Linked DNA regions of Elephas maximus indicus. The protein of the gene in region 3 purifies or fractionates together with the protein of the main gene of each other region. This does not show direct contact. Links are inferred from orthologs where the notes say so. Each region holds a gene or a part of one and is shown on either strand. Other genes may lie near its edges. The genes, in order: CTNNA1, CTNND1, CDH2 and JUP.

Region 1 (7,728 bases), on a different chromosome or scaffold from region 3:
GCCCTCCATGTCCAGTAACTGCCAAGGGCTAAAGCTACCAGTCCCTGCCTTCAAGGAGCTTCACTTTCCAGCAGGGACATCAAGAATAAGTCACAGTACAATGTAGCACACCACCCTGCACAAAGAGGCTTGCTACCAAAAATGAAAGCGGTAACACTCAGCTGAATCTAGAGCTATAACTAAGAATACACCAGTAAACACAGTAATAGAGTACAAGAAGGAAGAAACAACATTTATCGAGAAACCTAGACCCCCACATCCAATGCACATTCAAGTCCTGTCTTATTTCTCCAAAACACAACTCCCTTCATCCCTACCACCTTCACCCCTACATCTTTCTAGCTTAACTGCCTATTTCCACTTGTATAAGCCTTCTCCAAACGCTAGCAAGAGAGATCTTCTTTAAAATGTTATCAGATGATTAAACTCCCTACAATGGCTTCTTATAGCTCTTAGAATACAGTCCAAACATAGCCCTGAGCGACGTGGCCCCTGCCCTCCCTGGCAACCTCATGTGAGGCTTCTCTCCACCTAAGAGTATTTAATCTACACAGGTCTTCTCTGAGGTCCCTAAACACGTGGAGTTCTTTCCTGTCTCAGGACTTTTAAACATGCAGAGTGCCCTGTTCCCTCCATTCAGCTCTTCATCAGAATACATACAAACCCCCACAACCAGGGCTATCCCTCATGCCTCAAACCAATGTCACTTTCTCAAAGAAATTCCCAATGGCACAACCATTAAGCACTCTACTGCTAACCAAAAGGTTGGCAGTTTGAGCCCACCAGTGGCTCAGAGGGAGAAAAGACCTGGCAACCTGCTCCCATAAAGATTTCTGCCTAAGAAACCCTATTGGGCAGTTCTACTCTGCACAGTGTGCAGGATTGCTGAGTCAGAACTGACTTGACAGTCGCACACAACAACCTCCACATCTGGTTTATGGAGCAGAATTAAGAGAATGAGGAGCCCCATTTTAGACATGTTGAATTTGAGAAGCCCCTGAGACACCCCAGGAGCAATCCAGTGCACGGATGACTCTGGGGGTCAGGAGAGACATCTGCACTCCAATAGAGACTTGGGCTTCAGCACATAAGGTTGATGGCAGGAAGACTATCCACTTGGGATGGGGGCATCCCTCACCTCTAAGTCACTGTATGGAATGAGATGTTACTGATAGGAGTGAGGGTGAATACTGCATCAATGGTGTAGAGGTAGAAAAGAATCAAAATAACACTGGATAAAATCCTGTGTATGAGTACATTTTAAAAAAAAAAAAAAAAAGAGTAAGAAGCAGTAGCCAAACATATAACCAAAACCAGGAAGAGTTGTACCACCAAACCAAAACCAAACCCGCTGCCGTGGAAATCCTATGTCCTTTTAAGCTTCTCAAGACTTCCTCCTTTCACCTGACAAAACCCTACTCATGTTTCAAAGGCCAGTTAAAAAGCCACCACCTCCTGGAAGCCTTTCCCAGCTTCTCCAAAGAAAACTACCCCTCCCCCTATGCCTCCACAAAGTTTCTTTGTATATTTGTTGTATATCCGACCCATACAAAAGCTTTTAAACAGTACTGTTATGGCACTTATCTAAGTCTGCCCTGTGGGGCGGGGCGGGGGGGGTTCCTCCCCTATTACACTGTGAACCCTGAAGGGTACAGACCATATCTTACTCATTTGTGAACCCTTAATTAGGTGGATAAAAAATTATCTGTAACTTAACAATAGTCAAGAAGGGTAAGTAATTGGGCAGCAGCTATAGATAGGTACCCCACTCATTCCTCTTGTAAAACAACAAATCCTAATAAATTTGACTTACAAGTTTATATCTTCTTAAAGCAACACACACCTGTACAGTTTTTTAAAAATCACTGCTAAGCACAAAATATCCTCTCACCAAAACATCTATCCTGTCAAAAAATAATGATGTAATCATTTCCTTCAACAAAATTATGAAATGCTCTTTATTTAGTTGAGGGCTATGCATCATACCGTCTTTTCTAAGTTGTTGTAAATCCTCTACAAAACAAATACAAAAATATTACGAAAACGCAGGAGGACACAAGGGTGTCCATCCTGGCCTTGGGCCAAGTGCTGCCTGCATTATTAGGAAGCCATGGCTGCCAATCCAAGGTTAGGCATTCAGTCAACATTTTTTCCAACAAGTGCTATTGTCTCTCTTTCACACACACGATATATTCAAAGTCAACAAAAAAAAAGACGCTGTAACGTCACTCTTGAAAACAAGGGCACGTCCAATTTACCACACAGGAAGTCAGTAATTTCACAAGAAAGGTTAACATGGTACACGCCGAAAGTCCACACGGGTGTGGCGCACCTTACCAACACGGCTAAGGCAGGGAGAGGGAGAACTAACTTTCACATTCGCTCGGGGCCCGGAATGCGGGTGCGCGCGCGGGCTCAGCAAAAGCCCGGTTCAGCAGACAGTGAAGTTTCAGCGGCCCGTGACGGGAGCTGAGGCAACAGAAACCACAAAACCAGAGAACAATCACATCACCGGAAAAATCAATTCACCAAACACACACAATCACTGGAACAACGCGCAGATTCTTCACGAAAACGGCCGAGGCGGCCCAGCGCGGGGCCGGCGCGCGCACCCAGCCCACTTTAACGAAGTTTAGAAACCCGGAGAAACTTTTCCGCGAGGAAGCGCAGCGGCTGCGCGTGGCTTCCGCCTCTCCAGCCGCCGCGGCCCCTCAGCTCCTCCAGCGCCAGGGAGGCGGGCCCCGCCCGCCCAGCCAGCCAGGGCCCGGCCGGGGGCCCGCACGGGAAACGGCCGCCGGCCGGAGGCTGGACCCCCGCCCGCCGCGAGCCCAATTCCAGGCGGCGCCCGCTCGGGAGGGCCCGAGGACGCCCGGGCCCGGCTGGGGAGCTCGCGCGAAGAGTTACCTGCGGCGAGCGGGGCGAGCGCGGGAGGACCGGAGCACCGAGGCCGACAGCCGCCGCTTTGTCTCCCTCCCGTCGGGCTCGGAGGAGGAAATGGGCCGCCCGGCGCCCCCGCCCCTTCCCGCCCCCCGCCCCCCGCCCCGCGGCCCCGGCCCCGCCCGCCCTTCCCGGAGCCTCCCTCTGGCGCGCTCTTCCCGGCGCCTCCCGCCGCAGCCGCCGCCCCGCCCGCTTTTCCCGGCTCCGTCTGGCCCCCGCTTTATGGGGGAGCCTCGACGCGAAGAGGCCCTCTGGCAGGGCTCGGCCCGGACCCCCTCAGGACTTCTTCCTCTCAGCTCCCCACCCCAGTCACTTCATTCCAGGCTTGTAGTGGGCGCTCAGGCCTGGAATGACCTCCGAGAGGAAGGAGGAGCGGCGACTCCTAGAACAGCCCCGCGGGGGAGGGTGGGGGAGGGCAGGTGAGTCACCGCGTTGCGCACAGGTGAGTCTCGGGGCACGGTTTCGCGCAAGCCCAGCCCCTGGCCGGTGCCCCAGGCACTGGGCGCGGCAACGTGAGGTCCTGGGCACGCTCCTCGAAAAGTGGCACAGGTGTCCCCGAGTCAGACGTTCCCAGGAAAGTGTACTAGGTTCGTCCCCTAGTTTTACTTAAGGAGAAACTGAGGCTAAATAAAGGTCCCACAGCTTAAGGCAGAGTGGAACTACAATCAAACACTGGGGATCTCTTAGGTTGTGAGGTGAAATCGCCCTAGAAATCACCTAATCCATCCTCTCAACAGTTGGGGAAACCGGGATCCCTCCTCCTGGTCGCGAAATTTTTTTATAGCAGCGTCCCCCCCCCCAGGATGCCCCCCTCTCACGCAAACGCACACACACACTTTAGGGTCCTGGCTTCTATCCTTATCCCTCAAGGCACTTGTTGTTATTGGGTGCCTTCAAGTCCGTTCGGACTCATAGCGAGTTTATGTACAACAGAACAAAACACGGCCCAGTCCTTCGCCATCCTCACAGTCGTTGTTACGCTTGAGCCCATTGTTGCAGCCACTGTGTCAATACATCTCGTTGAGCAACTTCCTCTTTTTTGCTCACCCTTATACTCTACCAAGCATGGGGTCCTTCTCCAGGAACTGATACCCTCCTGATAAAATGGCCAAAGTATGTGAAAAAAAAGTTTCGCCATCCTTGCTTCTAATGATCATTATGGCTGTACTTCTTCAAAGACAGATTTGTTCATTCTTTTGGCAGTCCATGGTATATTCAGTATTCTTCACCAACACTGTAATTCAAAGGCATCAATTCTTCTTCAGTCTTCTTCACTCATAGTCCAGCTTTCATATGCATATGAGGCAATTGAAACCACCATGGCTTGGGTTAGGTGCACTTTAGTCCTTAAAGTGACATCTTTGCTTTTTAACACTTTAAAGAGATCTTTTGCTGCAGATTTTCCCAATGCAATGTGTCTTTTGATTTCTTCACTGGTGCTCCCATTGGTGTTGATTATGGATCCAAGTAAAATGAAATGCTTGACAACTTCAATTTTTTTCTCTATTTGTCACGATGTTGCTTATTGGTCCAGTAGTTAGAATTTTTGTTTTCTGTAAGTTCAGGTGTAATCCATATTGAAGGCTCTGGTCTTTGATCTTCATCAATAAGTGCTTCAAGTCCTCTTTCATCAAACAAGGTTGTGCATATGCATATGGAAGGTTGTTAGTCTTCCTCCAATCTTGATGCCCTTTTCTCCCTCATATAGTCCAGCTTCTCAGATTATTTGCTAGCACAGACTGAATAAATATGGTGAAAAGACACAACCCTGACGCACACCTTTCTTGACTTTAAACCACACAGTATCCCCTGGTTCTGTTCAAACGACTGCCTCTTGGTCTAAGTACAGGTTCCTTATGAGCACAATTAAGTGTTCTAGAATTCCCATTTTTCACAATGTTATCCATAATTTGTTATGATCCACACAGTCGAATGCCTTTGCATAGTCAATGAAACACAGGTAAGCAACTTTCTGGTATTCTCTTTCACCCAGCATCCATCTGTCATCAGCAGGGATATCCCTGGTTCCACATCCTGTTCTAAATCCAGCTTGACTTTCTGGTAGTTCCCTGTCGATGTACTACTGCAGTCACTTTTGAATGATCTTCAGTGACATTTTACCTGTGCGTGATATTACTAGTATTATATGATAATTTCCACATCCTGTGGGATCACCTTTTTTGGAATGGGTACAAATATGGTTCTCTTCCAGTCGGTTGGCCAGGTAGCTGTCTTCCAAATTTCTTGACAGAGACGGGTGAACACTTTCAGCACCGCATCCATTTGTTGAAACACCTCAATTAGTATTCCATCAATTCCTGGAGCTTTGTTTTTCGCCAGTGCTTTCAATGCTTTTTTCAATGCAGCTTGGGCCTCTTCCTTCAGTACCATTGGTTCTTGATCATATGCTACCTATTGAAATGGTTGAATGTCAACCAATTCTTTTTGGTACATGACTGTGTATTCCTTTTATCTTCTTTTTATGCTTCGTGTGTCATTTAGTAGTTTCCCCATAGAATCCTTCAATATTGCAACTTGAGGCTTGAATTTCTTCTTCAGTTTTTTTCAGCTTGAGAAACGCCCAGCATGTTCTTCTTTTGGTTTTGTATCTCTAGGTCTTGGCACATTTCATTATAATTGTCTTTTTGAGCAGCCCTTTGAAATCTTCTGTTCAGATTTTTGACTTCATCATTTCTTCCTTTTGCTTTAGCTACAACAGCAGTGGGTTTTTACTCTATGTTCAAGAGGAACTTTCAGAGTCTCTTCTGACATCCATTTTGTTCTTTCCTTTTTAATGACCTCTTGCTTCTTTCATGTATGATGTCCTTGATGTCATTCCAGAACTCATCCGGTCTTCAGTCAGTAGTGTTCAATGCGTCAAATCTATTCTTGAGATGGTCTCTAAATTCAAGTGGGATGTACTCAAGGTCTTATTTTGGCTCTAATGAACTTTTTCTAATTTTCTTCAACTTCAGTGTGAACTTGATGTTTTCCACAGTCGGCCCCTAGCCTTGTTCTGGCTGATGATATTGAGCTTTACCATCGTCTCTTTCCACAGATGTAGTCAATTTGATTCCTGTGTATTCCATCTGGTGAGGTCCACATATATAGTTGCTATTTATGTTGTTGAGAAAAGGTATTTGCAATGAAGAGGTTGTTGGTCTTGCAAAATTGTATCATGCTATCTCCAGCATTGTTTCTATCACCAGGGCCATACTTTCCAACTACTGAGCCTTCTTTGTTTCCAACTTGCACGTTCCAATTGCCAGTAATTATCAATGCATCTTGATTGTGTGTTGATCAATTTTAGACTGCAGAAGCTGGTAAAAGTCTTCAATTTCTTCATCTTTGACCTTAGTGGTTGGTGGATAAATTTGAATAATAGTCATATTATTATGAAACCCTGGTGGTGTAGTGGTTAAGTGCTATCGCTGCTAACCAAGAGGTTGGCAGTTCGAATCTGCCAGGTGTTCCTTGGAAACTCTATTAGGCAGTTCTACTCTGTCCTATACGGTTGCTATGAGTTGGAATAGACTTGACAGCAGTGGGTTTTTTGGGTTAGTCATATTAATTGGTTTTCCTTGTAGGCATATGTATATTATTCTATCACTGATAGTGTTGTACTTTAGGATAGATCTTGAAATGCTTTTTTTGATGATGAACACAATGCCGTTCTTCAATTTGTCTTTCCTGGCATAGTAGACCGTATGATTATATGATTCAAAATGCCTATACAAGTCCATTTCAGCTCACTAATGCCTAAGATATCAATGTTTATGCATTCCATTTCATTTTTGATGATCTCCAATTTTCCTAGATTCATACTTTGTATATTCCATGTTCCTATTATTAATGGATTTTTGAAGCTGTTTCTTCTCATTTTGAGTCATGCCACATCAGCAAATGAAGGTCCCAAAAGTTTGACTCCATCCACTCACTATCATTGACTCTACTTTGAAGAGGCTACTCTTCCCCAGTTGTCTTTTGAGTGCCTCCTTCCCTGAGGGGCTCATCTTCTAGCGCTATATCAGAGGGTGTTCTGCTGTTGGGTATTCACTGGCTAATTTTTTTCAGAAGTGGACTGCCAGGTTCTTCTTCCTAGTCTATTTTAGTCTGAAAGCCCAGCTGAAACCTGTCCACCATGGGTGACCCTGCTGGTATTTGAATACCCACGGCATAGCTTCCAGTATCACACCAACATGCAAGCCCCCCACAGTATGACAAACCTGTGGCAAACTTAGAAAATTTTATTCCTATCCTTTATGGTGAATACTCCTTTAAAAAAAAAAAAAACACAAAACAAAACATACTATATACTTACTATGAGCCTGAGATGGAAAACCCCAATGATGTTTCTCATGAGTCATGGAATGATGAACCGGGTTGATTTCAGTATTGGCCTATAAATCCAAAATAATCCAAGACAACAATATCCACTGCTGGCTCTGTGCTGATGGATAAGCTAAAGCTTATCCTGCCTTCAGCATCTACTATTCACAACTCCTTTCCCCTAGAGAATGCAAACTCCTGGAAGATAGGAGCTGTATCCCCTACGGCACTTAGTACAACTCCTTTCCCCTAGGAAGTGCCCAGTGACCTAATATGAGTAAAAGTGCCCACTGTAATTCAAAGCACTATGGTTTGCAGTAGTTAAAAGATACTGACAAAGGGCAATAGGACCATGAGGTAGGCAGAGAACCACTTCAGGAGAGGCAAACCTTTACAAGGCCAAGCACGCACGGGGCCTTTGTAAGCACAGAACCCTATGCTACTGCACAGGTCACACACACA
Region 2 (7,644 bases), on a different chromosome or scaffold from region 3:
GTGTGTGTATGTGGTGATGGTGGTAGGTGGGGAAGTTAAACTTTGAGGGTTGTAAAACCAAGCACTGAATGTAATATTTCATGCTTTAAAAACAAAGCAAAGCAATGCAAAGCAAAGCATGCAAAAAGAAAGAAAGAAAAAAAAATTCCACAAACAAAAAACAACCCTGTGTCTCTAAAACATATCCTCAAACCCATTGTCTTCCCTCTGTTTTGACTGCTACCACCTTCATCTACTTCCCTATCTCTGTAACTTGACCACTGCAACAGCCTTTGAACTAGCTGACTTACTTTCACTTTTGACCCTCTTTAACTTGTTATATAAGCAGCCAAATCTTTTCAAAATGTGAGTTGGATCATAGCCTGTTGTAGCCCATTGCAGTGGAATTGATTCCAACTCACAGTGACCCTATAGGACAGAGTGGAACTGTCACATAGGGTTTCCAAGGCTGTAATATGTATGGAACCAGACTGCCACATCTTTCTCTGGAGGAGGGGCTGGTGGGTTTGAATTGCCATCCTTTTTGTTAGTGGCCGAGCACTTAACCATTGTACCACCAGGGCTTCCCCTCTGACCCATGTTGTTGTTGTTAGGTGCCGTGGAGTCAGTTTCGACTCATAGTGACCCTATGTACAGCTGAACGAAACACCGCTCAGTCCAATGCCATCCTCACAATCTTTGTTATGCTTGAGCCCATTGTGGAAACCACTATGTCAATCCATCTCGTTAAGGGTCTCTCTTGTTTTCGCTGCTTCATATTCTGATCCCACTTCTCCCCCGTCCTCATTTCCAACATGCTCTGCCTGGCCTAGTATGTTTCAGCCCCACACTGCAGGGATTTGTCATTAGCAGTTACCTCTGCTTACTGCTCATATTTTTCTTCTAGTGGTTGACCTGTATTTATCACTCAAATTTCAACCTAAATGTCACCCTTTCAGAGTTTGTCTCTGACAGCCAATCTAGAGTAAGCCCCAAGTCATTCACATTCCCAACAGATTCTCATCAATCTGTTTTAAATTTCTGCATAGCATTCCATTCGACATTATCTTACTTATTAATCTTCTCTTCACAGCACCCCCCACCCCAGAAGGTAAGATTTAAGAGAGCAGGAAACTTGCCTATCTTATCATTCTCCACATCTAGAAGAGTACCTGACTCAAAGTAGCTGCTCAAAATAACCCAAGTGGAACTAGTCTTTTTATTTCCTATTAACTGAGTGTAAATAATTTTTCCCTCAGTCAGTGAGTATTAATACTCGTGATGCTTTATTTGAAGATGGCTGTTTCAAATAAATTTAAATTTTACCATTTAATTATCTTTTTTTGATTTGTGTATCATTTCATTTTGAATGTTATGTACAAATTTATTAATACTAAATGACTTGTCCAGAATTATACAACTAGTAAGCAAAAGAGAGTTCATTCACTCATTCAGCTACTGCTAAATATGAGATATAAGGCTGAGCTCTAGGGATATACCATGAACAAGAAGGACAGTGGCCGTGTCTTTATGGACTCATCTTTTGGGGGAGAGACAAGAAAACATACTCATGCATTCACACACACATAAAAACATGGAAAAAAAAGACAAAATACTTGAAAGTTTTGAGTAATGACATGTGTAAGAAGTAAACAAGACTAATCCGTCTCGACAGTGAGCTGGGCTACTAACCAAAAGGTCAGCAGTTCAAATCCACCAGCTGCTCCTTGGAAACCCTGTGGAGCAGTTTTACTCTGTCCTATAGGGTCACTGGGAAACCCTGGTCGCATAGTGGTTAAGTGCTATGGCTGCTAACCAAGAGGTCAGCAGTTCAAATCTACCAGGCGCTCCTTGGATACTCTATGGGGCAGTTCTACTGTGTCCTGTGGGGTCACTATGAGTCGGAATCAACTCAACTGCAGTGGAGTGGGTATAGGGTCGCTGTGAGTCAGAATTAATGGTAGTGGGTTTGGGTTTTTTTTTTTTAATCAAGCTCTAGAAAATTCTGTATAAAATATGGCTGTCATCTAGGAACCAATGAATAAACAAACATTTCTCTTTCTGATTGTTTCCTTTGATTATCATCTTTGGCTTTGGAACTTGCTATAGAGGACCAGGAAACCCTGGTGGTGTAGTGTTAAGTGCTGTGGCTGCTAACCAAAAGGTCAGCAGCTTGAATCCACCAGGTGCTCCTTGGAAACTGTATGGGGCAGTTCTACTCTGTCCTATAGGGTCACTGTGAGTCAGAATCGACCCAATGGCAACAGGTTTTGGTTTATAGAGAACCAGGAATAGATGGAGAGTAGAGGTAGAAGTGGGGCCCGTGTGGCGCAGTGGTTAAAGCACTCAGCTGCTAACCAGAAGGTTGGCAGTTTGAACCCACTAGCCGCTCCTCAGGAGAAAAATGTGGCAGTCTGCTTCTGTAAAGATTTACAGCCTTGAAAACCCTGTGGGGCAGTTCTACTCTGTCCTCTAGGGTTGCTATGAGTTGCAATTGACTTGAAGACAGTGGATGTGTTTCTTTTTTTGGTTTAGAGGTAGAAGATATGAGAGAAGATTCTTAGATTATGTGTTAAGGACTATTTATTCTTTGTTATAATGTACTCATTTCCTACTATTCTTTGTTTAAAGCTCGTCAAACAAGTGCTGTGATGCGTGGTTGATCTTCCAACACTTCTGAAAGAAATCGTTTTGGGCCACTACAGGCCAAATATGAGGGTCTGTAGGACTCTAAGGAGCCGTAATGGCACAGTGGTTAAGAGCTAACCAAAAGGTCAATGGTTTGAATCCACCAATTGCCCCTTGGAAACCTTGTGGGGCACTACGAGTTGCAATCAACTTGACAGCAGTGGGTTTTTGGTTTATGAGAATCTATACCAAATATGGGGGGGGGGGAGTTAGCTAATGACTACATCAGCTTGATTAGAAGGGCACAGTCATGCTGAGGGGGAGTGGAATTCCTGTTTAGACCGATAAGGAAAGGTCAGATCATAGTTAATAGTGTTACTTTAATGTATTGAAAGAATAAATGTGATACCATGAAAGCAGATGAGGAATTTGGCCTTTATCCTTAGGACAGTGTAAGGTGATGGAAAGAGCACAGCTTTGGAGTCAGATTGATGAGGGGTTCACTTCTTCACCACATGAGCTCAGGCAAGTTGCTTAACCTTGCTAAGCCTTGATTTCTTATCTATAAAATGGAGGTAATACTATCTCCATTGTGCTGTTTTAGACATTCGAGACAATGAGTGCAAAGTGCCTCTTACATGATAGACTGTCAATCATTGGTTGCTATTATTGGGCAATGGTAAGCCATTGAAAGTTTTTGGACAGGGTAGTAATAATAACTCATTCTTAATGAGTTTATACTATATGCCATACATTGTTTAAGAACTTTAACTCTCACAGTAATCCTGTGAGAGATATACAGTTATTATCCCCATTTTATAGTTAAGGAAACTGAGGCTCAGAGAGATTATCTAACACGTCCAAGGTCACATAGCAGTACACTTAGTCGAGTAAATACGTGTACTTACAGAGATAGACCTTGAAGCTAGGTGGTCTACCTGCAGAACCTATGCTCTTAACCACTATTATAGATTGTGAAAACTTTATGAAAAAGATTAATTTGGCTGCAGTCTACAGGGCAGAGTTTGAGATTCTTCAGTAAGAAAGAAAAAGGAAATCTTAATTCATCATTAGTCACTGAATGATGGTAAAATACTAATCTTTGTCAACCATATTTAAAAAAAAATTCAGCCCTTGCCCTTCATGGTCTTACAGTCTAAGGACATATTAAGAATATCTCTTAACTCAGAAGAGGAATACCCCTATAGTCCTTTATTCAGGTCAAGTGTCAAAAGACAATGTATGAACATCATCTTGAGCTTGGAGTTCACACTGAAATAGAATTTTCTTCACGTGAGACTTGGTCTTCCTTATACATGCTGTATTCCCTCTAAATATATTGCTCAGTATTGGATTCCGTTTACTTTTCCTCTCAAACCCACATTATTTTGATTTGGGGTCAAATGGGAACACAGTGATATTACTTAGCAGCCCAGTGGATTCAGCGCCCTTCTAGTTGAAACTGTAGAGACTAAACACTGTTAACAAGCCCAAGCATTTATTTTTTTCTAATTAGCTCTAATGCAATTAAACCAAAACATTGAAATTGAGAGTTTACCTCCCAGATATCCCCTCCCCATCCCATTGGCACACAGTAGTCCTGTTGTGAGGATTTGTCTCTCCTTCCCTTCCGGTCTTCCTTTGAGGTAGAAAGCAACAAATGAAACACCAGCAGGCAAATAAAATCAGCTCTTTTCTGTTTCCCCACCTGGAAAGGAAGGGAGAGGGAGCAAGAACCCAACCATCAAAGATAACTGGCTTGGATGTGCCATTCTTAGAAGCCCTTGTTCCCTCGCCCCCCGCCCCCCCGAAGCTCTGCAGTAATTCCTCGGAGATTGTATAGTCTCTGCTTTAAATATATATATATGTATAACTTCCCCCTGTCTCTTTCTCTCCTCCTCTCTCTCTTTTTTTAATTTCCTATAATAAAGTTTCCTATTGGATAAGGTCAGCTCCCTGATTTATGCCTGGCTCCTATTGGAAGTTCTCAGGGGCTGACATCACTTAGGAAAGCGAGGGGGTAGGGCTGCCAGATCAGTTTGTCACCACCCAGGCTCCCTTGCCTTTGGCTGGGTGCAACTTCCATTTTAGGTGTTGGATCTGAGAGAAAAAAAAAGAGAGAGAGGGAGAGAGAGAAAGAAGAGCAGGAAAGATCCTGAAAGGAGGAAGAGGTGGCGAAAAATCAACTGCCTTCCTGGATTTGTCTTTCTCAGCACATTGGCGAAGCCTTGGGTTTCTTTCTAAAAGGATTGGTTTATAGAAGTCCACGTTTGAGGTGTGTGCCTTTTAAAACAAAAATGTGTTACAGAAGGGGAACGGAGGGTAAACCAGTCGAATTTTTGTTTTATGGTAACCAGAGGGAATTTAAAAACGAGAGCGAGTCTGCTATGCTGAGGGGTGACTTTTAAGCAATTATCTTTTTCTTTCTACCTTCAGTACTTTGGGAGATTTTAGTATTTTAGTAATATTAAAAAAAGGCAAAATATGCAAGACCTGGAAACAAACTTCTAGGTCTCTCTAATACAAGGAGACTCTAGATCCAGAGGGGTAAGAGCAGTTCTGTAAATTTACATTTTTGTGTGTTCTTTGATTTTGTATTTTTTTTTTTCTGGATTTAGCTAACATAGTTCTGTGCTCAGAGCCCAAACCAAAAATTGGTTTTTTGGCATGTTGCGTGTGGGTTGGGAAAGGAATTTGTCCGGGTTGGGAGCTAGTTTTACAGATGGTTCTTCATATGTTTCAGAACTTCTTTTTTTGTTCTTTTATCGTTGAATTTGTGGAAGTGGAAAGTTGCAGGGAGCTTTGCAGTGTAAATGGTGGTGTTTTCTCCCCGGAGAGTTTGAACGGCCCAGATCGGTTTCTGCCCTGCTGTTCCTGGGTGGATCCGCCTTTTACTTTTCCAGGTGCGGTGGGTGGGAGCCTTACTCCTGCTAGACGGAGCCTCCCTGTTTTGCCTTATAAAAGAAAACAAATGGTTCCATGTTAACTGAATTGCCATCCCCGCCTTCCTCCTACAACTCCTTTGATGGCAGAGATTTGTGGAGGTGTTGTATGTTAAATCTGCAAATACGATAAACGTTTGGTATATGTGCTTAAAGGGATAAGGAAATTCTAATCATGCCTTTTAGTTCACCTGAGTAAAGTAACAACACACCTGAAAGTATTTTCAGCTTTGTGCTCTCTGAGAGGGCAACGGATTAAATAAGGTTAGATTAAGAGAAACCACTTAAACAAACTTTAGTGTTTAAAATGCATTTGAGAAAGCCCAAGGAGAATTTGTTTTTAAACCAAACAGAAAGTTGTTTTTTGGAGGTGAGTTTTTTGTCTGGTTAATTTACCATGAAATCAGAAATGTGTAAGAGCTGAAGGCCCATGTCTGCTTTCTTATACTTAATCTTAGGATTTGTTTTGTTTTTGCAAATATATTCTTACAAAAATACTGGTTCTAGAGAGTTATATAGGTAGCTCATGAAGAGCTGAAAAGTGGGACGTTCTCTTCCTTCTGTCTCTGAAAATGCTAATCAGTCTGAAAATTACAGCTGGAATAGATACTGCTCTAATGGTAACAAGATGGGCCTTAATGTGTAGACTGCTCATTAGCTTTAAGCTGGCATGTATCTTTAATAATTCCCTGATTCTACCCCCTGCTTCCCAATTCTAGAACACTTCCTTGGATTTCTTTTTAATAGAATGAGGGTATTTCTTGAAAGATGACTCATCCTTCTAACGTTGTGGTTTCAGAGGAAACAGAACTTTGTTCCTCTTTTTGATACAATCTACACAAGGACTATAGCAAAGGTTTAATGCCTCGATCTCATAATTGTACCAAGTGCAGTTAAAAAAAAAAAGACAACGTGTACAATCTGTTGGGCTGGAGTTCTTGTTTAATATTTTCTAAATTTTCTTTCCAGTGTTCTATTTGCCTTGACACCAGCCTAGGGAGGTTTCTTGTTGGTCTTTGGAAGGTTGGTCATGTTGCTGCCAGAGTGTCGGTTTCCCACTCAGCCTTTAGGGGGAGGGATGAGGGAATCTGAAGGAGTACAAAGGCAATTTGAAAATAGGTTCTGGATGACTGAGTGGTGGTGATTTGGGTCTGGCTTTAAATACTGGGCTTTGTATGGAGTATCCTAGATAACAAGCATCCAGAACCGTTTCTACCAACTGAAGGCTTTGCTTTGACTGGTGTGTAGTATAGAGCCTTTTGGGTGATAAGAGGGAATATTTATCTTTTACCTCACTTCCATTAGTTCTTTCGGGAAATATAGTATGGGGTGGGGATAAGTAAATCTTTTACATGTATATATATATATATATACACACACACACACATGCGTTTGTTTTGTTTTGCTCCTCGTTTTGCTTTTGGGGTAAGAATGAAGACAAATATGAGTTATGCAGATTGTCCTTTCCTCGTTTGACTCCTATAGACTGTTGGTTCCTTTGTTACATGTGTTCCAGGTGGGATGGGTGCCTTCTGGGAGGTGAGAGTTCTAGTTTCTTTCTTAGGGTTCCATTTATGGAGAGTCAGACGAGAACATGATCTCTCAGCTAGCACAAAATTGGGACTATGGGAGACCTATTAAAAAAACAAACAAAACTCCAAGCAATTTCAATCCAGCCTTAGGTATATGAGGTATTTGCTCTCTAGGGGTGGTGAGATAGGATGGATACAGATAAATTAAACATAGATCACTATCAGTTGGAATAACAAAATGATTACCTCCGTATAATTTATTGCCTTCTATTTTGGTACCTGATGATCCCGTTACTAACCTACCCACCTTTTTTTTTTTTTTTTGAAGAACTATGGCTAGCATTTTACATGTACTATTAATTCCCTACAACATCCGTTTTTTAAGAAAACTGAGCCTCAGAGAAACTTGACGTTTGTTGAAAATCTTTACAAAGTCCATGGACTTAACCACTAATACATTGCCATTCTCTAGAGAAAAACAGCCAGAACTAAAATGAGCCCTTGCTAGTCTTTGCTAGTCTTCCAGGTTGGGGTAATGTATGTAAAAGATCTGTTTTCCTTAA
Region 3 (7,702 bases):
CAGACTTCGAGTTACATACTTGGCTATATTTTCCATGAGAAAATATCTCCAAACAAGAGTTAATTAAAGAAAGGTAGGTTTCTCTTCTAGTATTGGAACAGATCACTGCTTCTCTGGTTAAGTACCAGATGAACGGCTGGCTTGCACTTAGCGGCCAGATTGTATCAAAGACATGGATCTTTAAATGTCAGAAACACACTAAATAAGGCCAGATGATCACACTAAGAAAGGCACATGAGAACTGAGACGAGTGGAAAGACAAGCAGAGTTATGTCTCCTATCTCTGCAATATTTCAGAGAACAAAATACCTGAGAACAATGGATACATCTCTAGTTCCATTTAAATACTCTTATTTTTACCTTTCTCCCAACCCATAGAGTTGAATTTTCTAAAGTTAAAAAGGACTCCCCAGAATCATTTTATCTAAAGAACCTAGGTAAGAGTGGGAGGATGAGAGACTGGGTCCCATGCTGGGCCCCCTGCTTGGCAGCTGGTAGCTTTGTCTAACTTTTTAAGCCTCTCTTTCCCTGTCTGTAAAATGAGATGACTGCAGAAAGCATCTTTAAGTTTCATTTAGACATCCCATGATTCTAAGAAAGGTAAGTTCTTGGGTGGTGCTAACGCTTAATTGGCTTGGCTGCAAACCCAAAGGCTGGAGGTTCAAGTCCACTCAGGGATGCCTTGGAAGAAAGGCCTAGTGATCTACTTCCAAAAACACCAGCCGTTGAAAACCCTGTGGAGGAAAATTTTTACTCTGACACACATGGGGCGCCAGGAGTCAGCATTAACTAGGAGGCAACTGGTTACTGGTTATGAGAGGGATATTACTCAAGGAAGGTCAGCTCTAATGTACATCAAAGATAATTGGGAAGAAAAACAACTTTAGATGTACTTCATAAGAGGGAAGGGACAATGCTAGATGCCAGAGATAAACAACTGTGAAGTTTCTGCCTTGAGAGTAATGTGGCCAGGGGTGGACCAGGGTATTGCAGGCTAGACTCTTACTTCGTGGAATTTGTTTTAAAATTGAAGACCCTTTTACACAAATCTCCACACGATGTATTTGTACTTTTAGTATCTCCTGTTTGAGAAAACACAGTATGACAAATAGTTATTATGATTTTATTTTGAAATGAATGTTTCAAATTTAGCATCTATATGAAGCCCTGGTGGCTCAGCGCTTAAGAGCTCAGTGGTTAACTAAAAGGTTGGCAGTTCGAATCCACCAGGCACTCCTCAGAAACCCTATGGGGCAGTTCTACTCTGTCCTATAGGGTTGGTTGCTATGAGTCAGAATCAACTCGATGACAATGGCTTTTTTTTTTTAGCATCTTTATACATACAAAAGATGGCATATATCCAGAAAATATTTATTCAGTCTGGCCACATTTTTTGGTACACATATACATTTACAGATTTCTTCCAGTAAATCGGCAGCTTCACAGGTCAGAAATCAAGGGACTAGGTGGATTTTATGTATGTGAGCCCAGCCTTAGTTTTCATTAATTTTATTGGTATTAAAACCACCTGGCTATCTCTCTGGGTCAATGACAAGCCCCTGGCAGCCCCTGAGCCCTACAGGCTGATGGCAAGCTAGTCTTCAGGTTGGCAATCCTTTGAGCAGCTGCTAAAAATCTGAGAAACGAACAGCCCCACTAAATCTTAAGTATGGTACTATCAGAGTAAACTGTGTTAGATGCCATAGTCAACCATAGATCTCCTCTTCTTAACAGCAAATGGATACACAAAATCTCCAATAACATAATTTTAGACTAGGCTATTCCTTCTCATGATCAAAGAGCAATTAGCAAGATTTGGCTGACCACATCAGGCAAGATTCCAAAACAATTCATAACCTTTGAAGAGTAAGAGGCATGCAAGTTAGATAAAAAAAAAAAAAAAAAGCTGCAAGTGCTAACCTGTGTGATCAAGCACTGTAAGAATCAGAGAATTAGTTGACTGATCAGCTTTCCAATACAGAATTTGAGACCATAATAAGAGTTTAGTTCATAGGGGACATGATGTTTAAAGCTTCAAGCAGATAATACTACCAAGCAATAGAGTTATTTATGCTGGTTTCTTCCAGCTTTAAATTAATCAGAATGGCAATAAACACTGATGGCTACTGCTGAGAGTGGTAAGGATTTAGCTAAGACCAGGTGTCCAGGATCACAGCTTAACTTCTAGGGATGGAGCTGAAATCTACAAATCCCATCTTGGAACCCCACAACAAAAGATAACCCTGTATTGCTACTGAATGTTTCACTATTATGTATGACTCCCTAAAAATGGAATTTATAAATACTGTATTGCAAAGATAACTTTTAGGTAGATTAGCAATATAGCATGACAATAATAAAAATACCTAGCAAAGAGAAAGAACAAGCACTTCTTACTGTATTAGACAAGCCTTTCATCTTTTTTAATTTAATTAACATAACCTTCCTTATACTAGGGGGGAAGAAAATCCAAGAAAAAATGTTTCTTAGAAAAATGACTTACAATGTTGTTTTAATTAAAAGTTAACTTCTCTATGAATATTACATATTTAAAAGCATAGCCAGGAATAATACATTATTAAAAGTTGCATCAGTTATGTCCAAGATATTAATACTTGATTTTTAGAGGTTCATCATCATGTGGTTTTAAATAATCAGTGTTCTGAAACTCAAAGTGAATACTTCACTGATCTAAATTCAAAGAACGTGAATATGTCAGTTAGCCAACGCAGAACAGGAAACACTAAAGGCAAAAATGTTTATTAACTACAAGGAAGTTCAACGACCTCCAAAGTGTTGCAACGTTGAGATAAAAGGATATTTTTATTTACCTGTAAGACCTTAAAAAATAATAATAATAATGGTTCCTAGAAAAAAAAAAAATCTCGCCAAAATCAACTGCCCCTTTCCACTCCACTCCCCCATTAGACAAATGCTTGTGACCCAAATAGTCTCTCACTTTTAATATTCCACCCCGATCCGTTATTTAGTGTGAATTCGGTATCAGTCATCTTATCTTTTAGATAATCCTATTTTTACCGCGTGTATTTCAGGTTCTGGCTTTTGGATTTTTTTTCTTCTTTGTTGGAAGAGGTGCAGGGAGGGAGTTAAAGTTCCTAAAACTGCAAAAAAAAAAAAAAAAAAGTGCACCATACCTCTAAAGGGGTAGAAACATAAACGGATCATTTCTTATACAATAACATGCGCCTGCAAACTCCCAGAGGTGACAAAACAGGAACAGAAAAACTTGGGCTACTCCAGTACATCCGCGAGGGTGGGAGCTGGAGAGGCGCCATGTCCAAAAGAAGCCACGGCCTCTGCGCTCCTCGGCCCGCAGGTGGCTCCGGGCAAGTGCCTCTGACAACAATGGCTAAGGTGGGCTTTGCCTGCGTCCCTAGCTTGCTGTGGCTGCCCCAATACGAAAAATAACCTATCTCCAAAAACAAACAAACAAAAAAATAACAAAACAGAGAAGCGGGCGTTAGGCTGCCAAGGAAGAACCCCCATTCCTAATATCCATCAGATTCCCCACCGCGGTCTAAAGATAGCGAATCAGCCACCGATCAAGTTTCTGCGCAAGTTATTTTATTTCCCGCAGTCCCTCCACCTGCCGGGGCGGTGCTCCGAGTACTCCAGGTTCCCTCCGGCGACCCCCCGCGGGCTGCAGCAAAAACGGGGCGCTCCGGCGGCGCGGGGGCGGGCGGCTGCCTTGGATCCGGCCGGCAACCGCCGCAGCTCGCTGGCCTCCGATTGGCCACCACGCGGGCGGGGGAGACTCGGCGGAGGAGGGAGGCGGGGGCGAGGGCGGCGCGGCGGCGGCGGCGGCGGCGGCGGGAGGGGAAGAGAGCCGGGACCCGGCCGCGCAGCCGGGCAGCGCGTGCGGCGAGCGCGGATAGAGCAGCAGCTGCAGCTCGCCCTGGTCGCGCTCTTGGAGGCCGAGCGGGAGTGCGCGGCGGCGGCGGCGGCGGCGAGGGCGGCGCGCGCAAGAGAGCTGCGCAGGGCGAGGGCCGGCGGGCGGGAGCCGGAGCGCGAACAGCAGGGGCGGCCGCGGCAGCAGCTGCGCGGGACGGAGCCGCGGCGGTAGGGGCCGCGCCAGCCCGTCGGCTCATCCCCGCGCGGTCAAGGCCAGAGAACAGTCTTCAACTCGCCGGGCGACGGGAAAGAGGAGCCGAGAAGCGGCTCTCATCGCCAGGCAGCTGCGGCGCCCGGTTGCGGGACTGCTGCTCTTTGTAAGCGCAGCGCGCACGGCCCGCGGCGCTCTTCCCGGTGTCTTCGTCGCGCCCAGCGGCCCTGGAAAGGGGACCCGGAGGAAGCACAACCACGACCTCGAAACCTCGCGGCGGAGCTCTTAGGGAGCGCCATCCGCTCCACTACCACCTCCGCATATTACACGGGCCAAGGTCCCCGCAGCCAGCATCCCTCGCGGCTTCCGCCGCGCTCCGGGCCAGAGCTGAGTCGCCGGTGCTGCCACCACCCTCACAGATACACACACACTCCCCCACACGCACGCACGCCCGCCTTCTCCCCCGCCCCCTCCCCAGCTCCTTGATCTCTCGGTCTGTTTTATTACTCTTGGTGCGAGTGCCGCGGACTTCGCGGCCCGCTATTTGTCACCAGCTCTCTCTCCATTGGCGGGGAGAGGAGAGCAGCGGCGAAGGGGGTGGGGTGGGAGGGGAAGGGAAGGGGTGGAAACTGCCTGGAGCCGTCTCCGCGCCGCTGTTGGTGCTGCCGCTGCCTCCGCCGCCGCCGCCTCCGGCTTCTCGCTCGGCCCCTCTCCGCCTCCATGTGCCGGATAGTGAGAGCGCCGCGGGCCCTGCTGCCGCTGTTGGCGGCCCTGCTCCAGGTACGCTGCGGCCCCGCGGACCGGGCCACGGGCGGGGTGGGGCGGGAGGCGCCGGGTCCCTTTGTTCCCCGCGCCGCTGCGGGGCCGGCTGCGCACTCGGGAAGGGAGGTGCCGCACCTCGCGGCCCGGAGTTGCGCAGGAACGAGCCTCCGCCGGGGCACAGGGGCAGGACTGGAGGGGCCAGCAGGTCCTCCGCGCTTCTCCTGACGGGGCCCAAGGGGGCCGATCGCGGGGCATCCTCTGTGCCTCCTTGGGGCTGGAGGAGCTCGCGGGGGGTTGCAGAAGGGTGAGGCGGAATATTTCCCAGGTTTTGCAGTTTTCTGTGCTTCTTACTCCCTGCATCACACTTTGCTTTTTTTTTTTTTTTTAATTTCTGCAGAAACGGGTCTCGAGTTTGCAGTTGAAATTCTCACTCTGGTGTCTTAGTTATGGGTCTTGCCTCCACCCCACCCCACCCTAGCAGCGCGCGCCTCCCGGCGCCCAAGGGCTCCACTGTCCTATTGTCTTTATCCCAACCCAGAGTTGCTTCCTTTTCTTGTTCTCTCCTCCAAACAATGTTCTGTGTCAATCCCACCTGGAAAGAAAACCTCGCCCCCTTGTCCGGAGAGGTCCCTGCGTGGGTCCCTGTCTGTCGGCGTCTCGCACCAGCCCCTAGCTCCGCACGCCTTTATCCCCACGGGCGGGGAGAAGTTCCGTTACTCGAGTATTATTCCTCTCCCTTCCCCAGGCTCGCACTGACCCGCTTGCGGCCCAAAGGCGCCTTCGCCGGGCGCTTTCAGCACTTTTCACACCCTTGGGAGAGCCCTCCCAGCCGTTCCATTTTATCATTGCTAGGCTCCCTTCCGCGGAAGGAAGCACCTGCTTCAGGCGGGTCGCGGGCTCCCTCCTGTCTCCGCGCCTCCGGTCTCCAGCCCGGCTGGCCGCCCAACTTTCCCGTGGCGACCGGCCCGAGGATGCCGTGAGGCCCCTCCCGGCCCGCCAGCGGGGCCCCGGGAGGCTGTGCCGCACAACATCAGCCGAGACCCTCGCGCTGGGCGGGTGCCATACCGGGACCTGGAATTTGCCCCCGCCTGTGCGGGTCAGAGGCTGCGGGAGAGGGGCGTGTCCGCCTTCGCCTGGGGCCACGGCCCCTGGGTAAATGCAAACGAGCAGTGGGTGGGAGAGGCCAGCCGGTGGGAGCCCTGAAAAGTGCGGGCACGGTTCAGCAGTGCCCTGGCGCCGGGGGCAGCTCGGGCGAGAACAGATGGTGCGGCTCGCTCCCTCTGTAGTCTTCACGGGTCAGGAGGCGCGCTCCGGCCACTGGGGGAGTGGTGGCTGTGGGCGCCGGCGGCGGGCTGGGCCGGCGCCCGCGGTCTCTCGCGCTTTCTCCCACCGCCCTCTAGAGGGGTGTGGACCGCGGCCGCGCCGAGCCCTGTCCATGGTGCGCGGTGGTGCGGCGCGCCCGGCCCTGCCCTGTCCGCCCTGCTCTGCACTCTCCTTCAGGTCGCGCTGTCTCACTTTCCGGTTCGCTCTCAGCCACTGGCTCCTTGGCCGCCTGGTCCTGACTTTTCTTTCTCTTTTCTTGGGTCTCCTTTTGTTCTTTCCTCGCCTATTGATATTTCTCCTTCCCCTTCCCCCACTCGCCAGACCTTCCTAGGCTCTTTCCTGACTCTGGGATTTCGAAACTATTAAACGAGACACTTTTGGCCTCTGCAGTTTTGGGGAGTGGATGGAATTTCTTCTAACTTGGAGGAGGAGACCTGCCAGTCACTTGCTAACAAAAGTACCTCCTGTTATAAAATCGCCCTTTATTCTTGGAGCGCACACTCCTCATTCTTTCACCTCCTGTCACTTCATTTATTATTCTCTAAAAAAATGGGGTTTATTAAAGAGGTTAAGCTGGGGGGAGAGAAGGAAAAAGTGCTACTTTTTTAAGTGTTTGAAGTTAAGACGAACTTATGAATTCTGTGCATACCAGAGTTTTCTTTTCTTTCTCCTCTCCCCCCCCCCTTTTTTTGTCGCCAAGGAAATACTATAGATCAAAAAATCTTATTTTTAAAAACAATATTTTTGGACGTCATTGAGTGATTTTACTTATTAACAAACCACGTAGTAAATCTTCAGCATGTGAATCTAAGCCATAGGTAGTTATTTTCACTATCTTTTGAATCTGCAAATGAGTTTTAATTAAACACTATGCAAAGGAGTTAGGACAGGAGGAGACATCAGTTGGTCGTTCATACCTGTGGGACAGCCTAATTATGTTATGATTGGAGCAGTCTTATCTCCACCCTTAGTCATCTGCCTTGAAGTCAGTCGTGAATTTCATATGTCATTTCTTATTTTTTCTTTGCATTTTTCATATTGCCGTCTGTAAAAGTCAAATAATGTGCTTATCTTTCAATTACGTGTGCTTTCTTGGTTTCTTCTATGCTGATTTTTGCCGTTTATAAACCTTTGTGAAAAAAGAAATTAAAACTTTGTCATCAAGTTATTTGACAGTCTTCTCATTCTCTAGTTGAAGCCAGGCAGTAACATTGAGTGATTTGGAAGGTCATCAAGAGTGGAAGCAGCGCAGTTTATGCAACATGAGTTTTAGGGTCAAGAGCTCCATGTGGATTGTAGGACGGAGATTAGAAATGCCTTTGTGCTAACAGTCTGCTTTGCTCACCAGAACAGCAGAGATCTATCCGCAAGGTGAAAGTGGCCTCTCTGCAGTCAGTCCTCTGCTGCTAAAACTGTGCTTGTTTCAGACCATGCTAAGCCAGCTAACAGTTTAGGAGAGAGAATGTGTAGGTTATTAGTGTAGATACAGAGCAATCCTGTTTTTCCTGAACAGTTAAAAAGAGTGGTTGAATATTAAGAAAGGGCTTTATATTG
Region 4 (7,996 bases), on a different chromosome or scaffold from region 3:
AGCCCAGGGAGGTGCTTCTGCATCCCTGTCCTCTCCTCCGGCCCTGAAGGGGTCACCCTGAGTCATCCCACCCTTAACACGGGGTCGGGGGCAGGGGCAGGGGCAAGATGGAAGTGGAGGCCCACATACCACCGGTCTAAACATTTAAGCAAAAACTACGTTAAATAGGGTTTATCTTGATGAGTATACTCCCACAATGGCCTAAAAGGTCAGGGTGGAATTTAGAATTCTGACACTCCTCCGCAAGTGGCAACCCCCAGGAGAACTGCTCCCTGGCCCCCAGCCCTGAGCCCCAGGACCATCTCCCCTTCCTGTCCCACCCCTGGCTCTACCCACAACAGGAAGGGCCTCCAGCACATATAATGGGTGCAGATAGCCCAGCTCGCATGTCCTGCTCCCTGGCCCCAGAATAACTGCAGCCCTTGTCACCTCTCTGGCTTAAGTGTACGCATACCAGCTATGATGCGACTGTCCTTCTCAGAGGAACAGCCAGAATAAGGGGCCCACAGGCCCTGAAAGCCAAGTCAGTGCTGGGCAAAGGATTCTGAGTTTTGGGTACCAGGGCGTGGTCCCGAAGGGAGAGGTGTGAACTCTGTATGCTTGTCCCTTTGCCCTGTGTGGAGGGGCACAACCCCAGCAGGACCAGAGTGGGGGCCTTCTGAAGGCAGGACCAGGACAGGAGCCCTCTTTCCCCCTGGGCAGAGAGATGCCTCTAGGTTTTTGTATTGCCTTTGATGCAATGTCTGCAACCCAGGAAGAACTTCCAATTGTCTGCTCTCCTTTTCTTCTGCTGAAAAGCCAGGGGAGAGGCGCCAGTGTGATTAAAAAGTACCGCTATCGGCCTGAGGAGTCCCTGGGTGATGGTGACACACATGCTTAACGTACTCCGCTGCTAACTGAAAGGCTGGCAGTTCCAGTTCACCCAGATGCACCTCGGCAGAAAGGCCTGACGATCTACTTCGGAAAAATCAGCCATTGAAAATCCTATGCAGCACAGCCCTTCTGTGACATACGTGGGGTAGCCATGAGGCAGAGTCGACCCCATGGCTACTGGCACTAGATCAGCCTGAAGTTTGACACTGTTCACCCTTGCCCTCCCTCTATAGAGGTGGCCACCCCTTAGGCCACCTTAGGCTGAAGAGGAGAGGAGAAGGGTGTGTGTGTGTGTGTGTGTGTGTGTGTGTGTTTGTGTGTGTGTGTGTGTGTGGTGGGAAGGGAAAACCGAGGTGTCTGGTGTTCCTATATCTGAGTCTGTATCCGTGTGTGTCCATGAGTGTGTCCCTGAGGTTTGAGCGTGGAGGACTGTGTGGGTGTGTGGGTGTGGGATCTAAATCTCTATCTGCCTCTGTCTGGGGAAGGGGCCCTGCAGGGAAAGGGCTGTGTCTGGACAGAGAACAGACATTCTTCCACCTCCTTATATGGCCCAGAGGCCTCCTGGACGGTGAGGGGAAATGAGATAAGCTGAGGAGGGGTGGCCTGGCTGTCCGGACGTTGGCAGTTGTACACCTTCTCCAAGAGAAGCGCCTTCCCCCTCCCCTACCAGTTCCACTCCCTCCCGAAAGCCCCTCTTTGGACCCCTTTGGCCATTTACTTCTGTCTCTGGGACAGCTTGGGATAGGCCACCTTGGTGCCTTTTCATTCTTTACTCTGAGGCCCCAAAAAGCTGCAAGGTTGAGTTAACCATGTGTTTTTGGTAGTTCTGGAGCTTCGAGCAAGAGACATGAGTTTAAACTGCAGGAATAGGAAATAGGCTAGACGTTAGAAGGAACTTCTCTCTGTTCGAATAAGGAGACAAAGGCATTTAAAACTAAGGGAGAATGGAGAACTTCTTTTGCCAGAGATTTGTCAAAAACAGAAATCCCTGCCTTTAAAACCGTGGAGGCAGGGAAGTGGATATGATGGCCATGGGGCCTTTCCTTCACTTCAGTCAGTCTTCCTGAAGAGACTGTGGTCACAGTGACCCCCTTCTGTCTACCTGCACATCTCCTCCCCCATGAGACCAAAACCCCTATACAGACAGCTGATTTTAGTCAATACAACTTGCTGTGTCCTCAGTGTCTGGCAAGCACATTGTAGGTGCTTGATAAATGTGCAGAACATTTCCTGATCTGGGTGGGGGTACAGCTCTTATCCCAGTCTTCCCTGCTGCTCTTGTGGGTGCTTCCACCCAGCCCCAGTCTGTGTGCTTAACTTTGAGGCCAGCGTGTTGCAGCATGTTCCAGGGTGAGACATGCAGGGAACATTGCTGGGAAGACACACACGAGCACCAGTGGTGCGCACACGCACACACACACACACACACACTTTATCCTGAAGCCTTATTTCTGCCCTTCCACTCCACCCAAGCTCCTCCACCCCTCTATAGTCAGCCAGCCCTACCCCACTTATATGCTGAAGTCAGGAGAAAGAAGAGGGAGTTAAGCTAGGCTTGGGTTTGGGAACTGTGTGTGTGAGCGCGCACGCACGCACGCACACGCACGTGTGCAGGGGTGGGAGGGTGGGCAGGAGAGGTGGGAGGGAGAGGAAGTGACATCCTTCCACAGTGGTGACAGCTTAGGATTCTGAGCTCTTTTCCTCTGAGCTCTTTTCCTCCCAAGCCTTGGGCTGGCCACTGCACTGTGTGGCAGGATGGAAAGCAAGTGGGTGGGTGGGGGTAAGGTAGGGATAACAATGCTGAGACCGGCTGGAAGGGGGGCGGGGTGGTACAGAAAGCCAGGCAAAGGGCAGTGGCCCTGGCATGTGTTCAGGAATGTTGACGTCTCCCTGGCCCCCTCCAGGAAGACTTCTTGGATGGCACGAGCTTCAGAAGGGAGAATGTTAGCCATAATTCCCTCGCTGGTGGGGAAAGTGGTCAAAGATGCTGCTGGGGTACATTCACCCGGCCCTATCCTGTGTGTGCTAGCTTTGGAGCTATAGTTTTTTGGGGGGCGGGATTCCTTTCCTGAGCAACCACTCTCCCTTCCCTCCCCCCACCACAATGCACACACACACACACACACACACACAAGCTGAATGAATGAGTGTCTGTAGGATCCTTGACATACTGTGCAGCTACCAGCGGGCATTCATTTTATCGACCACAAAAATAAAATACTGGACCCTGGTCTTAACCTGCCTATCAGGAAGTTCTATCCGAAGAACCCAGGCTCTTCCACCAGTGAGGGGCTCAATGCCCACGCCTTCTATGCCAGTGATAGATTTTCTTTAGATCTGCTGCCTTATTTCTTCCAAACTCACCAAAGTCTCCTTACACCACGTTACGGATTGAATTGTGGCCCCCCAAAATGTGTGTCAACTTTGCAAGGCCATGATTCCCAGTATTGTGTGATCGTCCACCATTTTGTCATCTGATGTGATTCTGTGTGTTGTAAATCCTAACCTCTATGATATTAATGAAGCCCTGGTGGCATAGTGGTTAAGAGCTCGATCAGCAGTTCAAATCCACCAGTTGCTCCTTGGAAATGCTATGGGGCAGTTCTACTCTGTTCTATAGGGTCGCTAGGAGTTGGAATTAACTCGAGGGCAACAGGTTTGGTTTGATTTTAGGGTGTGTTGTTAATGAGGCAGGATTAGAGGAAGCTATGTTAATGAGGCAGGACACAATCTACAGGATTAGGTTGTATCTTGAGTCAATTTCTTTTGAGATGTAAGAGGAAATCAAGCAGGGACCTCCTACCACCAAGAATGATGAACCCGGAGGGGAGTGTGTCCTCTGGACCTGGGGTTCCTGCATTAAGAAGCTCTTAGGCCAGGGGAAGATTGATGACAAGGACAGAGAGAGAAGGCCTTTCCCTGGAGCTGGCACCCTGAATTTGTACTTCTAGCCTCCTAGACTGTGAAAGAATAAATTTCTCTTTGTCAAACTCATCCATCTGTGGTATTTCTGTTGTAGCAGCACTAGATATCTAACACACACCAATACTTCATCTTTGTTTCAAAAAATCGCTCTTCAATGTCTCTCCAAGTGTTGTTTTTGTCTCTTCCCACCCTTTCTTCATTGCTTTGATATTTTATTCCACCAGGTGAACCTGTGATTTGGTGGGCCTTGTAATTAGAACAGTTCTAGCTTTAGGATGTGCCACTTTCTAATTTTGTGTCCTTTCTGGACCTCAGTTTTCTCCTCTTTAAAATGAGGATAGTTTTGTTGTCCTAGCAATTTTCCAGAATTGTGAGAATTAAAAAACCCGTAACATGAATTTAAATTCTAACATTTAGCAGTTATCCAAGTCCTTTCACAAACCTTACTTTATTTATTCCCCACACACCCTAATGAGATAGTTATAATTAATGTACCCACTTTACAGATGAGGAGAAACAGGCGAAAGGTGAAGTAACTTGTCTAAGATCATATAGTCACTAAGTGGCAGAACTCAAACCCAGGCGTACTAACTCTAAATTCCATGAGCATTCATTTCATCTTTAGGGGGAAAAAAAAATTCCAGCCCAGCAAAATGCTGTATGAAATGCTATAAAAGTATGTTTTTACTACTTTGGGGCAAAGATGAATAAGCCCAAAGAAGCTTCATGCCTGACGCTGAGTTAGCAGGCCAGTGAAGACGTCTGTCCCTTCCCATGGCGCCCTGTGACTCACCTGTTGGACAGGTAGGGGGAAGGGAGAGTCATGAGTCTTACCTGCTCAGAGCCAGGGTGGGGCAAGACACACCCCATCCCTCCCATTGGTTCTTTCCTTATTCTTACTGACAGTCCCTTGCCCAAACAAGAAGAAGTAAGCCCCTTTCAGCCAATAGGTGCGGAGCTAGGATGGCATCTCAAGTTGGAGTCCGTCCCCAGAGGCGACTGGCAGTCCCTGGGGCCAATGGCAAGTCGATAAACAGAGGCGGCCGTGGTGGGGGCCTGAGAGCGAGGCTCCGCCCGTTGATGGGACAGTCATGCGAATTAACCAGTGAGCTTGCTTCAGCTGGTGGGAGTCTCTCTAGGGGGCGGAGCTTCGAGGGGGCGAGAGGCGTGGCTTGGCTGTCAGGTCCCTTCGCCTTTTGTTCGGTTACTGAGTTGCTGCCTTGGCCAGAGTCCGGTGCAGCCGCCGCCCGAGCGCGCCGACCTCAGTTCGCTGCCCGCGCCGGCCCCGACCCCGGCCCGACCCAGACCCGGCCCGGCTAGGCTCACACGCAGGTGCGGACGATCAGGGGCAGGGATCGCTGGGGCGAGGGAAGGGGCGGCGAGGGGCCAGAAGGTCCCAGCAGTCTCGGGGCAGGTGAGGGCGGGTGTAGGGGGCGCCACCCTGCACCGGCGGCAGGGGGCGCGCTGGGGTCCTGGGCGTGGAGACTAACGGAGCGCGAGATTCCGGCCCGGCGCTGTTGGGGGTTTCGGGATCTGGAGATCAAAGAAGGTCCGGGAGGGATCAGGGCAGGTGCTTCCAGAGTCGTGTCTTCCTCGGGTCGGAGAAGCCCGCCCGACGCCCGGCCCCTGACTCTCGCCCTGAGCTTTTGGGGAAGACTTTGACCTGTTCCGCCTGCGTCCCAGGGCGCACTCAGCTGTCAGGAATTTACGGTTTGGGAAACTTGCTGCCGCTGGACTCTTTGGGGCCACCCCTACCCCACCCCACGCGTCATCCTCGCTTTCCCTCCCTCCCTACTCCCCCAGGCCTGGGTGGGGCCCTATTGTCTGCGACCGGCTTGCCCAACTGTGGGGGCCAAGCGCACAGTTTCACAGAGACGCGGCCCCCACCTGCCGAGCAGGTGAGCGCACCGAGGCCAGAGGCCCAACCCTCCCTCTCTGCGAGCCTGGTCGGCAGTGTACCTGGGGCGCCTCCCTTCGCTCGGGTGGGTGCCGGGCTGTGGATCCCCCAGCGGAGGTGGGATGGGGCAACAATGAGGCTGATGCAGGGCCCTGCTCAGTGCCCAGCTGGTTTCTGCCCCCCGTTGCTCGATCAGGATCTTGGCGGAGCGGGTCTCTGCGTGGGTAGAGGTTTCAGGGCGGAGGGGTCACCTGGCCCAGTTTCCAATAGCTTTGGCTCCCAGAGTGTTCATATGGGAACAGGGCTACTCTTCCTCTCTAACCTCTTATTTTTGGAAAAATCACCCAAAGCAAACTTTCCAGGAGGAAGTATTCCAGAAGGAAGATTTCTCTGGGGGCTTTCCTGCCTCTTTGACCAGAGTGTCCCCCAGACTTAGAGGGACCTTCTTGTGGGGCAGAAAGCCCCTTTCCCCAGCTGGCCCCAGGCTGGCCCAGCCTGTCCTCCCTGCCCAGCCCCCCATCCTGTTTGCTGGGCCCCTGGGGCCTGAGGTGGGGGCCGATGGGGGGTGTGGGCCAGAGGGGAAGCAGCTTCTTCCTTCTTTTCCTGCCTCCTGGGGGACCACCACACCCCCTCCGATGAGGAGGCCTGGGCTAGTAGCCCTCCCTCCCAAGCTCTGCTTCCCCCACCACCACTTAGGAATGGGGGTGCGGTGGGACTGGGCCAAACTGACGGGGTGGGGGGAGTGACTGTTCTCATTTTCTTTCTATACCCCAACGCCCACGCTGTTTAGCTGGCTGGTAATTGAGGCCGAAGACCTTGGAGCTGGGAGGCTTGCTTTCCATTTGACTTCTGAATTATGAAGGTGCACTCTTTGTGGAAGCTTGTGCAGTCCTTTCCCCACCACCTCCCTTTCCTGAGAGATTTTGATGGGTAAAGTGGGCTACGAGGAAGGCTTCGCTTAGGTAGAGCTGCAGAGCTTCACTAGGCCCTCCCTGCCCCCCTCATTTCCTGAGAGCCCCTCTCCTCTGGCCCAAGTTAAAGATCTCTACCAGGCTTTCAACAATATCTTTTCAAAAATCTAAGGTGTGGTCTTTTTTGGAGGAATTTGGAGCCCAGCTTCCCTGGGGGACACAGAGGGAACAGAAGAGCCAGGCTGTCCCTCCGTCCTGGGGAGCAGGGGTGGGTGGCGGGAACATCACTTGGCTTGCCCTGACTCACTGGGGACCCCTTCTTTCATGGCTATGGATGGGAGAGTTAGGGAAGGAGGGGAGTCAGACCTGGGAACCCAGCTGCCCCCACCATGGGATGCCCTGGTAGGTAGGGTGCCCTGGGCTGAGCAGGAGGCTGGAGAGGTAACCCCAGGACTTCTCTGTTCGTGGGGTCTGCACCTCTGGGGAGCCACAGGGGCATGGAGTTTGGGCCCAAATAAGTTGTTTACCCTCCTCTCAGTGCCAAGGTGGAGAAGGGGAAGGTGTTGTAACTACCGAGGCTAAATAATTAGTTTAGCTAATCTGGTTTGTGGCTGTGATAAAAAGTTAATACTGAGGAAGCATCGCTGAGAGGCGCCTCATGAAAACCGGCTGCTTACTGGAGGGGAGGGGGATAATAGAGGAGGGGAGGGGGATAATAGAGGAGGGAAGAGGAATAAATAAGGTAGGATCAGATTAGTCATTTCTTGCTAGATCAAGCCCCAGCTTGGGTGACCTGAGCCCTCTCCAGCCCCACCTCCACCCCGCACCCCAGCCCCACCCCATCCCCCCTGGAACCTCTGGTAGGGCTGCCAGGACTGAAGCTTTGAGAAAGCAGCATGTAGGAATGAAGGTCAGGCTGGGCCCTGGAGCCTGTTTTTCTTCCTGGAGACCCCTGGAGGGGAGTACAGGTGTGGGGAGAGGGGATGCCTCTACAGGGCCTGGGAGGGACTAGGGAGAGGATCCCACTTGGAATGAGCTGGGACAACTGACTAGTGTACAGAAGGGCTGTTTTTTGGAGTGGCATTATAGCGGGGCAACTCTGGGCACAGGGATTTGGGTTGGACTGAGCTGGGTTTGAATGCCACCTTTGTCACTCAGTACCTATGTGGCTTTGGTCAATCACTTCATCTCTCTGAGCCTCAGTGACCTCCTGGGTAAAATGGGACAATAATAACTACGGACCCAGTAAGTGAGGGCAGTGGTGGATGAGTGGTAGGATTCTTGCCTTTCATGTGGGAAACCAGGGTTCTTGTCCTGGCCAGTGCTTCTCATGCACAGCCACTCCCCATCTGTCAGTGGAGGCTTGTGTGTTGCTATGATGTTGAACAGG

Evidence for each region.
Region 1: the proteins of CDH2 (region 3) and CTNNA1 purify together in Homo sapiens (affinity purification with mass spectrometry; 4 studies listed by BioGRID and IntAct, with this or other methods). This does not show direct contact. The link is inferred for Elephas maximus indicus from reciprocal best matches to the Homo sapiens genes CDH2 and CTNNA1.
Region 2: the proteins of CDH2 (region 3) and CTNND1 purify together in Homo sapiens (affinity purification with western blotting; 6 studies listed by BioGRID and IntAct, with this or other methods). This does not show direct contact. The link is inferred for Elephas maximus indicus from reciprocal best matches to the Homo sapiens genes CDH2 and CTNND1.
Region 4: the proteins of CDH2 (region 3) and JUP purify together in Homo sapiens (co-immunoprecipitation; 4 studies listed by BioGRID and IntAct, with this or other methods). This does not show direct contact. The link is inferred for Elephas maximus indicus from reciprocal best matches to the Homo sapiens genes CDH2 and JUP.

Annotation. Positions count from the first base shown.
Region 1 is NC_064820.1:151,825,916-151,833,643, reverse strand, and holds the start of CTNNA1 (catenin alpha-1), read right to left. Parts: upstream 3,011-7,728; 5' UTR 2,905-3,010; intron 1-2,904. UniProt on the Homo sapiens protein: Associates with the cytoplasmic domain of a variety of cadherins. The association of catenins to cadherins produces a complex which is linked to the actin filament network, and which seems to be of primary importance for cadherins cell-adhesion properties.
Region 2 is NC_064825.1:119,135,311-119,142,954, forward strand, and holds the start of CTNND1 (catenin delta-1), read left to right. Parts: upstream 1-4,635; 5' UTR 4,636-4,882; intron 4,883-7,644. UniProt on the Homo sapiens protein: Key regulator of cell-cell adhesion that associates with and regulates the cell adhesion properties of both C-, E- and N-cadherins, being critical for their surface stability.
Region 3 is NC_064829.1:35,179,925-35,187,626, reverse strand, and holds the start of CDH2 (cadherin-2), read left to right. Parts: upstream 1-4,693; 5' UTR 4,694-4,783; coding exon 4,784-4,843; intron 4,844-7,702. UniProt on the Homo sapiens protein: Calcium-dependent cell adhesion protein; preferentially mediates homotypic cell-cell adhesion by dimerization with a CDH2 chain from another cell. Cadherins may thus contribute to the sorting of heterogeneous cell types.
Region 4 is NC_064837.1:48,807,129-48,815,124, reverse strand, and holds the start of JUP (junction plakoglobin), read left to right. Parts: upstream 1-4,989; 5' UTR 4,990-5,130; intron 5,131-5,309; exon of another isoform or gene 5,310-5,508; intron 5,509-6,485; exon of another isoform or gene 6,486-6,557; intron 6,558-7,996. UniProt on the Homo sapiens protein: Common junctional plaque protein. The membrane-associated plaques are architectural elements in an important strategic position to influence the arrangement and function of both the cytoskeleton and the cells within the tissue.